Sus scrofa: one gene and its partner. The main gene of each other region encodes a partner of the protein of the gene in region 2 in a complex. Links are inferred from orthologs where the notes say so. Each region holds a gene or a part of one and is shown on either strand. Other genes may lie near its edges. The genes, in order: POLR2G and ERCC2.

What was found.
Region 1: ERCC2 (region 2) and POLR2G share a complex: the UniProt entries of both Homo sapiens proteins name them as parts of the TBP-based Pol II pre-initiation complex. The link is inferred for Sus scrofa from reciprocal best matches to the Homo sapiens genes ERCC2 and POLR2G.

The regions. Positions count from the first base shown.
Region 1 is NC_010444.4:9,005,665-9,010,208, forward strand, and holds the start of POLR2G (DNA-directed RNA polymerase II subunit RPB7), read right to left. Parts: upstream 2,968-4,544; 5' UTR 2,828-2,967; coding exon 2,816-2,827; intron 2,705-2,815; coding exon 2,595-2,704; intron 1,235-2,594; coding exon 1,075-1,234; intron 417-1,074; coding exon 366-416; intron 1-365. UniProt on the Homo sapiens protein: Core component of RNA polymerase II (Pol II), a DNA-dependent RNA polymerase which synthesizes mRNA precursors and many functional non-coding RNAs using the four ribonucleoside triphosphates as substrates.
Region 2 is NC_010448.4:51,743,851-51,747,653, reverse strand, and holds part of ERCC2 (TFIIH basal transcription factor complex helicase XPD subunit), read left to right. Parts: intron 1-1,116; coding exon 1,117-1,233; intron 1,234-1,320; coding exon 1,321-1,437; intron 1,438-1,763; coding exon 1,764-1,887; intron 1,888-1,983; coding exon 1,984-2,080; intron 2,081-2,198; coding exon 2,199-2,332; intron 2,333-2,426; coding exon 2,427-2,595; intron 2,596-3,803. UniProt on the Homo sapiens protein: ATP-dependent 5'-3' DNA helicase. Component of the general transcription and DNA repair factor IIH (TFIIH) core complex, not absolutely essential for minimal transcription in vitro.

The DNA of each region.
Region 1 (4,544 bases), on a different chromosome or scaffold from region 2:
CTGTGCTACAGCTATAACTGAAGCCACAGCAGTGATAACGCTGGATAACCCTGTGTGCCATGAGGGAACTCCTGGGTCAGCACATTAAAAGGACGCTTCAAGAGATGGTCACGGGGAGTTCCCACTGTGGTGCAGTGGGTTAAGGATCCAGGATTATCTCTGCAGCAGCTCAAGTCTCTGCTGGGATGCAGGTTCAATCCCCAGCCCAGCACAATGGATTAAGGGTCCAGCATTGCCACAGCTGTGGCTCCAATTCAATCCTTGACCTGGAAACTTCCACGTGCTCCAGGTGCAGCCCAAAAAAGAAAGAGACGGTCAGGAATGAATGTCTCCTCCTTAGCCCCACCTAGCCCGCCTGGACTTACATGTCGAGAGATGAAGCAGGACATGGGCCCAATTTCTGTGAAGAGTCCGACCTAAAAGGGAAATGAATGACCTAGTTTTTTCTTTTGTCCCCATTGTCTGCTGAGCATCCCGTCTTTATCTGCATCCTAATAATAGTCTTCATGTTTTGAAACCACTCTGAAATTTGGCATTTGTTTTCATTTTTCTCTCCTTTTTCTTTTTTTTTTTTTTATTTTCCCACTGTACAGCAAGGGGGTCAGGTTATCCTTACATGTATACATTACAATTATATTTTTTCCCCCATCTCTCCTTTTTCAAACTTTCACTTTATGTTAACAGAGTGTAGTAGTCAACACCTGAGGCCTCGAACCTGTCTGTCTGGAATCTGAACACTTGTCGGCCACATGACCTTGGCCAGCAGTCTTCTCCAAGCTTCAGTCCGGAGGTAAAAGCACTCGCCTCACAGTCATTGTGAGGCTTTGCACTTCACCTGGTGCACAGGATCTATTCAATCAATGGAAGCTACTGCTCTTTTGACTCTTAATGTTGACTTACATTTTACACCTGCCTGAGTGAGGCAGGACAAGATTCCCATGCCATCTGGCAGGTAAGGACACCTGAAGCACAAAGAGGTGATTTGGCCAAAGACACAGAGTTAGCAAGTAAGAGTTGGGGCCCATCCCAGATTTTCTCAGGACTTCCCATTACCTGCCCTGTGGATGGACTTACCTTGTTGACTTGAGTGACAACAGCATCCACGACCTCCCCTTTAAAGGGCCGGAAAACGATGGCCTTGTACTTAACTGGATAAAGGACAAAGCCTCGGCCTGGCTGGATCACACCAGCACCGATATTGTCAATGGTGGTGACAGCAATTACAAAGCCATACCTGCAGGGAGGATGAGAAAGAGAAAGGTGTGGAAGAGCCTCTAAAACCATCTGCCACAAGAGGAGTTCTGGTTGTGGCTCAGCAGAAACGAATCTAACTGGTATCCATGAGGACACAGGTTCAATCCCTGGCCTCACTCAGTGGGTTCAGGACGCCGGCATTGCTGTGAGCTGTGGTGTAGGTTGCAGATGTGGCTCAAATCCGGCGCTGCTGTGGCTGTGACATAGGCCAGCCGCTACAGTGCCGATTCCTCCCCAGCCTGCGAACCTCCTATGACACAGGTGCAGCCCCCCAAAAAAAGACAAAAAAAAATCTGCCACAAGAGTCACCGAGCCTGGGGGTTAAAGGGCATCACAAAGGGCAAGTAGATGGCACTCCTGGTCCCAGAGAACTTAATGATCAAGAGAGAAGACAGGGCAATGACCAGCATCTACAAAGCCAAATGCTGATCTCATAAGTTCACAATAAGTGTCCAAAAGGGCTGCAGTCCTTGAGCCAAGAGACCTCAATCTCTTTTTAAAATTTATTTGGCCTGTGGCATTCAGAAATTCCCAGGCCAAGCATAGAACCCACGCCACAACAATGACAATGCCAGATACTTAACCTACTGAGCCCAGGTACTTCCACATGCCAAGGGTGCAGCAAAAGAAGAAAAAAAAAAAAAAAAAACATACATATATATATATGAAATGCATATCCCCAGGCCTGTCCCCAGAGATATGGGGATGCTGTAAGGATGACATGAGGCTCAGGAACCTGTATGTTCAAAAGACACCCCCAGTTGCTCTGATGCTGGAGCCCCAAGTACTCCATGGCCCTGCTCATCCTGGTTTGTCTACATCACCAGATGAGAGGTCCCTCTGTGCAGAGCAAAGAGACGGTCAAACGTCAGTGCTCTTCCTTCCTCCCCCTAACTCTCAATCTGCTTTATCCTGGTCACTCCCTCATTCAACACACTTTTAGTGAAGCCCAATGTGCCATGACAGGTCCCTGGGCGTGGGGGATAAAGAAAACCAGCAAAATCCAAAGAGACTATGAGCTCGAGCTGGCCGCTTCTGTCTTTCTCACTGCATTATTCCCAGGGCCCAACACAGAGCCTGGCACACAGCTGGAGATTTGGAAATGTTTGTAAAGTAAATGAATGACCAATCTTGGCTGAGGGAAGTTAGTCCCGTTATCCAGCTTCGCAGAGGGCATCATGGGAACCCGAAGCAGGAAGCAAATGACTGCCTGGGCCGTCTGGGTGGGTGAGAGGGCTCTCCAGGGTAGACAGCACAAACTTTCAGGACTTGAGGAGGGGATGAAGGCACCGGGCGCCGAGGGCGCACTGCTCAGGCAGCACGGAGAGCGGGACACTCACTTGCCGGTGCAGGTCCCCTCCACTTCAGTGAAGAGCTTTTGTTTCACGGTGTTAAGAAGGTTGGGGCCGAAGTAGCGCGGATGCAGCAGGATCTCGTGCTCCAGGGAGATCTGCGGAGAACGTGGGATGGAGACCAGGCAAGAAGCGGCCCCCTACTCCCGGCCTTCCGCTTCGCTCCTCCTCTCGACCCTACCCTTGCCGCCACCCCGGGCCCTGCTCACATGGTAGAACATCTTCCCGGAGGAGGCTGGACAGCAGCCAGGCCGAGAGCAGCCAGGCTTAAAACAGCGACAGCAGCAGCAGCAAAACCCCCGGCAGGACCGGAAGTACACCAACCTCCCCAATCCCGCTTCCGGGCCTGCCCCAGAGAGGTGGGCGGGAACACGTCTCGTCTGCGGACTTGATTGGGCCCCGTTTTCGTGGGCGGGGAAATCCACGAAGCTCCTCCCCCTTCGTCCAGTCCACCCTCTGTAAAAGCACAGGACGCTCACAAATTAGCAAGGCCAGGTCTAGACAAGAAGTTCAAACGGTGGATTTAATTAATGAGAGACGTCATAAATAAAGCGCTTTAGCAGAATATATTCATTCAGCAAACAGTTGAAGACTGCTTTCACAGAGTAAGCATAATAACTATCTGTTCTTATCTGGAGAGAACGGAGGCCAGGACCACAGCAGCCCTGACCCCTCTCCTTCCCTCTTTTTGAAGCCAGCCTCCCTGCAAGAGCAAACTTACCTGCTGACAGTGGTGTGCTGGAGCCCCTGCAAAAGCCAACTGTTACTATTTCAGGAATTTTGCAAGCTAATTCTTAAACACAGCCATTATTAAAATGTAATTGTCTTAAAATTAAATGAATATTTGAAAAAAAAAAAAAGGCAGCGGTGCAGATGAAACAAGTTTGGCAATGACTTTTTTTTTTTTTTTTTTTTTTTTTTGGTCTTTTTAGGCCTGCACCCGTGGCATATGAAGGTTTCCAGGCCAGAGGTCGAATCAGAGCTGTAGCCATGGAACTGCGTGTGCCACAGCCACAGCAATCCCACATCCGAGCCCCCTCTGCTAGCTACACCACAGCTCAGGGCAATGCGGATTCTTAACACATTGAGCGAGACCAGGGATCAAACCTGAGTCCTCATGGATGCTTAGATGCGTTTCTGCTGAGCCAGGAGGGGAACTCCAGGCGATGTATTAATGATTGTTGAAGCCAGATGATGGATAAACTGTGGCTTTTTATATGTTTCCTTCTACTTTTGTATGTTTAAAATTGATCATAATAGAGAGTTTCCATCGTGGCTCAGTGGTAACAAATCTGACTGGTATCCATGAGGACTCTGGTTAGATCCCTGTCCTCAATCAGTGGGTAAGGATCCGGCGTTACTGTGAGCTGTGGTGTAGCTTGTAGACGCCGCTCAGATCTGTTGTTGCTGTGGCTGTGGTGTAGGCCGACAGCTACAGCTTCAGTTGGACCCTGGCCTGGGGACATCCATATGCTGCAGGTGCAGCCCTTAAAAAAAAAAAAAGTTCAGGAGTTCCCGTCGTGGCGCAGTGGTTAACGAATCCGACTAGGAACCATGAGGTTGCGGGTTCGGTCCCTGCCCTTGCTCAGTGGGTTAACGATCCGGCGTTGCCGTGAGCTGTGGTGTAGGTTGCAGACGCGGCTCGGATCTCGGATCCCGCATTGCTGTGGCTCTGGCGTAGGCCTGTGGCTACAGCTCCGATTCAACCCCTAGCCTGGGAACCTCCATATGCCGCAGGAGCGGCCCAAGAAATAGCAACAACAACAACAACAACAACAAAAGACAAAAAAAAAAAAAAAGTTCATAATAATAGAATTAAAAATAATAAATAGGAGTTCCCGTCGTGGCTCAGCGGTTAACAAATCCGACTAAGGACCATGAGCTTGCGGGTTCGATCCCTGGCCTTGCTCAGTGGGTTAAGGATCTGGTATTGCCTTG
Region 2 (3,803 bases):
AAAAGATTTGGTTCTGAGGAAAGGCAGCCCTGGGCTGTGACGGTGCTACCAGCAGAGCCTTGCAGGGGAGAGCAGCTTCCTCTGATTCTTGGACCTTGCTAAGGTTCTGGCTGTTTTAGCATTTTAAAAGATAAAGCAGAAATTCCCATAGTGGTGCAACAGTAATAATCCCGACTAGTATCCATGAGGATGTGGGTTCGATCCCTGGCCCCGCTCAGTGGGTTAAGGATCCAGCATTGCCATCAGCTGTGGTGTAGTTCGAAGGTACAGCTCGGATCCTGTGTTGCTGTGGCTGTGGTGTAGACCAGCAGCTACAGTTCCACTTTGACCCCAGCCTTGGAGCTTCCATGTGCCTTGGGTACAGCCCTAAAAAGAAAAAAGATAAAGCAGTTATCTGTAATTTACCTGCTAAAGAATCTTCAAGGTGTAATTAAGAAAAAAAAATTCAGATATAATTGACACCATATGTGACTTAACTTTTTTTTTTTTTTTTTTTTTTTTGATCATTGTGTGGAGCAGCTTGATGAGGGATCTTAGTTCCCAGACCAGGTATTGAACCCAGGCTGCAGTGAAAGCACCAAACCCTAACCACTAGACCACGAGGGAGCTCCCTAAGACATACTGTTTTTGTTTGCTTTTTAGGACCACACCTGTGGCATACATTCCTGGCTAGGGGTTGAATTGGAGCTGCAGCCGCTACCCTGTGCCACAGCCACAGCAATGCCAGATCCGAGCTGAATCTGCAATCTATACTGCAACACTGGATTCTTAACCCACTGAGCGAGGCCAGGGATTGAACCCACATCCTCATGGATACTAGTCGGGTTCTTAACACCCACAATGGGAATTCTGGACTTACTGTTTTAAAAAGAATAATTTAAGAGCCTAACAATTGTACCAACTCTTGCTTCCCTGTAGTAAGTTTCCAGGTGTCTTAACTGTTTACTAGGGAAGCAGGTTGAGGTTCCAGTTTCCACGGATGCCCCAGTGTCACCCGGGACAGGACAGCCAGATGGCCCCATCCCGCCTTAGCCATTAGGTGTTGAGCCCCAGGTTCCAGGAGTGGTTGGGCTCCTTGGCCTGTCCCAGTGCTAAGATGCCCTCTTGGCCCCTCAGGTGACACCCCTGCGCTTTGGGAAGGACGTCGATGGAAAATGCCACAGCCTCACGGCCTCCTACGTGCGGGCGCAGTACCAGCAGGACCCCAGCCTGCCTCACTGCCGCTTCTATGAGGTGCCTGCGGGGCAGCGCTGAGGGAGGGAGGCGGGGACCACTCACCACGGCCAACCTCCCTGACTCCTGTGTGCCCTGTCACCCTAGGAGTTTGATGTCCATGGGCGCCAGGTGCCCCTGCCGGCTGGCATCTACAACCTGGACGACCTGAAGGCGCTGGGGCGGCGCCAGGGCTGGTGCCCGTACTTCCTTGCCCGGTACTCGGTGAGGAGGCTGGCAGGGCTTGCGCAGGGGGGGCGTGCGTGCGGGTTACGCCTTCCCACCCACCTGTCCCTCTGCCTGTGTCCCCCTGTCGGTCTGTCCCTTTGTCAGTCAGTCTCTCTGAGTGTGTGTGCCTTGCCTGTGTCTGTCTTTCCTCAGTTCGCTTCTGCCTGCCCATCTGTGTCTGTCTGTCTGTCTGCCTGAGCCCCTTTCTGCACCTCGTCTCTGCGGGCCTGTCAGGCAGCACTGGGGCCGTGTGCTGTGGGCGGGGGGCAGTAGCACGAGGTGGGCGCTGGTGGCCGGGGTAACCCTGCACTCCCGGCCCCCAGATCCTCCACGCCAACGTGGTGGTTTACAGCTACCACTACCTGCTGGACCCCAAGATCGCCGACCTGGTGTCCAAGGAGCTGGCCCGCAAGGCTGTCGTCGTCTTCGACGAGGCCCACAACATTGGTGAGGAGGGAGCCAGGGCTGGGAGGCCATGCCAGCCCCTTGGGCTGCCGCCCCAGCTGCCTGCCTGAGCCCGGCGTCCCCTCCTTCCTCTTCCAGACAACGTCTGCATCGACTCCATGAGTGTCAACCTCACGCGCCGGATGCTGGATCGGTGCCAGGGCAACCTGGAGACCCTGCAGAAGACGGTGCTCAGGTGCGGGGCGCCGGCCTTTCCCAGGCCCGGTTCTCTGCCTGCCCTGCCCCCCACCCCAGGACCCCGGTCCCCGTCCCCGGCGTGTCCCCAGCCCTTCCCATCCCCCGGCTCCCCGCAGGATCAAGGAGACTGACGAGCAGCGTCTGCGGGACGAGTACCGGCGCCTGGTGGAGGGGCTGCGGGAGGCCAGCGCCGCCCGGGAGACCGACGCCCACCTGGCCAACCCCGTGCTGCCCGACGAGGTGCTGCAGGGTGAGCCCCCCGCCTCTGTGCCCGCGCCCGCCCCGCTGGGCCCCTGGCACCCCCCCTCCCCGCCACCGACCCGGCTGAGCCCGTGTCCCCGCAGAGGCGGTGCCGGGCTCCATCCGCACGGCCGAGCACTTCCTGGGCTTCCTGCGGCGGCTGCTGGAGTACGTCAAGTGGCGGCTGCGGGTGCAGCACGTGGTGCAGGAGAGCCCGCCCGCCTTCCTCAGCGGCCTGGCCCAGCGCGTCTGCATCCAGCGCAAGCCCCTCAGGTTCGTCCAGCAGGGTGGGGGTGGGCCCGGGGCCGGTATGGGGACTAATGGAAGCCTGGGGGAGTGCGTGTCACACCCGTGGGGCGGAGGGGGCAGGTCGGGGGCTCTGGGGCCAGCAGGGGCTTGGCGGGCAGCAGATGAGAGGCAGAGGAGAGTTTGGTGGACTGTTCACGGGGGTCCCGGGGGCCGTGCAGGATGGAGGAGCTGGTGGGGTGACCAGGCCCCTGCACCTTTGCGGAAACTCATCCCACCCCAGGCCACACGGGGAGGGGAGGGAGTAGCCCTGGAGAGCGGCTTCTGATGGGCCCAGCAGGGTGGGAGCTGGCAGAAAATGCTGTGGATCCTGCCCCCCAGACCCCTGTCGCCTCCCACTGTCCCCCAAGCCCCGGGGGCAGGAGCCTCCCCTCAGTGGTCAGGGAGGTGGTGCATGGACCCGGGAGTGGGGGTGGGGCTTCCTGGGCTTTTCCTTTGCTGTTCTGCCTGAGTCAGTGGTCTTCCCTGAACCTTGGTCTCCTCCTTTGTGCCCCAGGCAGGGAGTCAGCCCCTTACTCCCAGGTTCCTGAGGTGGTTGGTTAGGTGAGAAAGCAGCCACGCCAGGAACTTAGCATCTTGAGTGCTGACAATGAGCTAAGCTACATTCCGTATCCGTGGGATCTCAATAGCGTCCTCGCCTCGCGCTGTGGATGGGGACACTGTGTCCCAGGGAGGGGAAGCCAGTGCCCAGGGCCACACAGCACTGTGGGGGTAGCTGTGACTCGAAGCCAGGCCTGTGGGGCTCCGGAGTTCCTGGCTGCTCTGCCTGAGGTTGGGCGGGGAGCCCTCGATGGGGCCTCACCTTTCACCCTGCCGTGGGAGACTTGTGAGGGCTGCGGGGAGCTTCGCCGCCTGCATGGTCCTGAGTGCCTGATCTGCTGGGACACGGTGGGGACTGAGACAGCCCTGGCCCTGCCTTCCTGGGGTTCACAGTCCAGTGAGAGAGGGACGTGCCAGGGCTGGGATGGGGGGAGGCCTGGGGGCCCAGGGAACATAGAGGGGCACCTGGTCGACCGTGGAGGAAAGGAAAGGAGGTTCAGGAAGCGGGTTTTAAACCTGACTGTCTGCCTGACACCAAAGCCGTGCTGCTGCTCCACAGCCTCTCCCTGAAGGGTGAGAGCCTTGAGTGGCCCTGTGTTGTGTACGGGCTGTTGCTGGACACAGTGTGTGCGAAG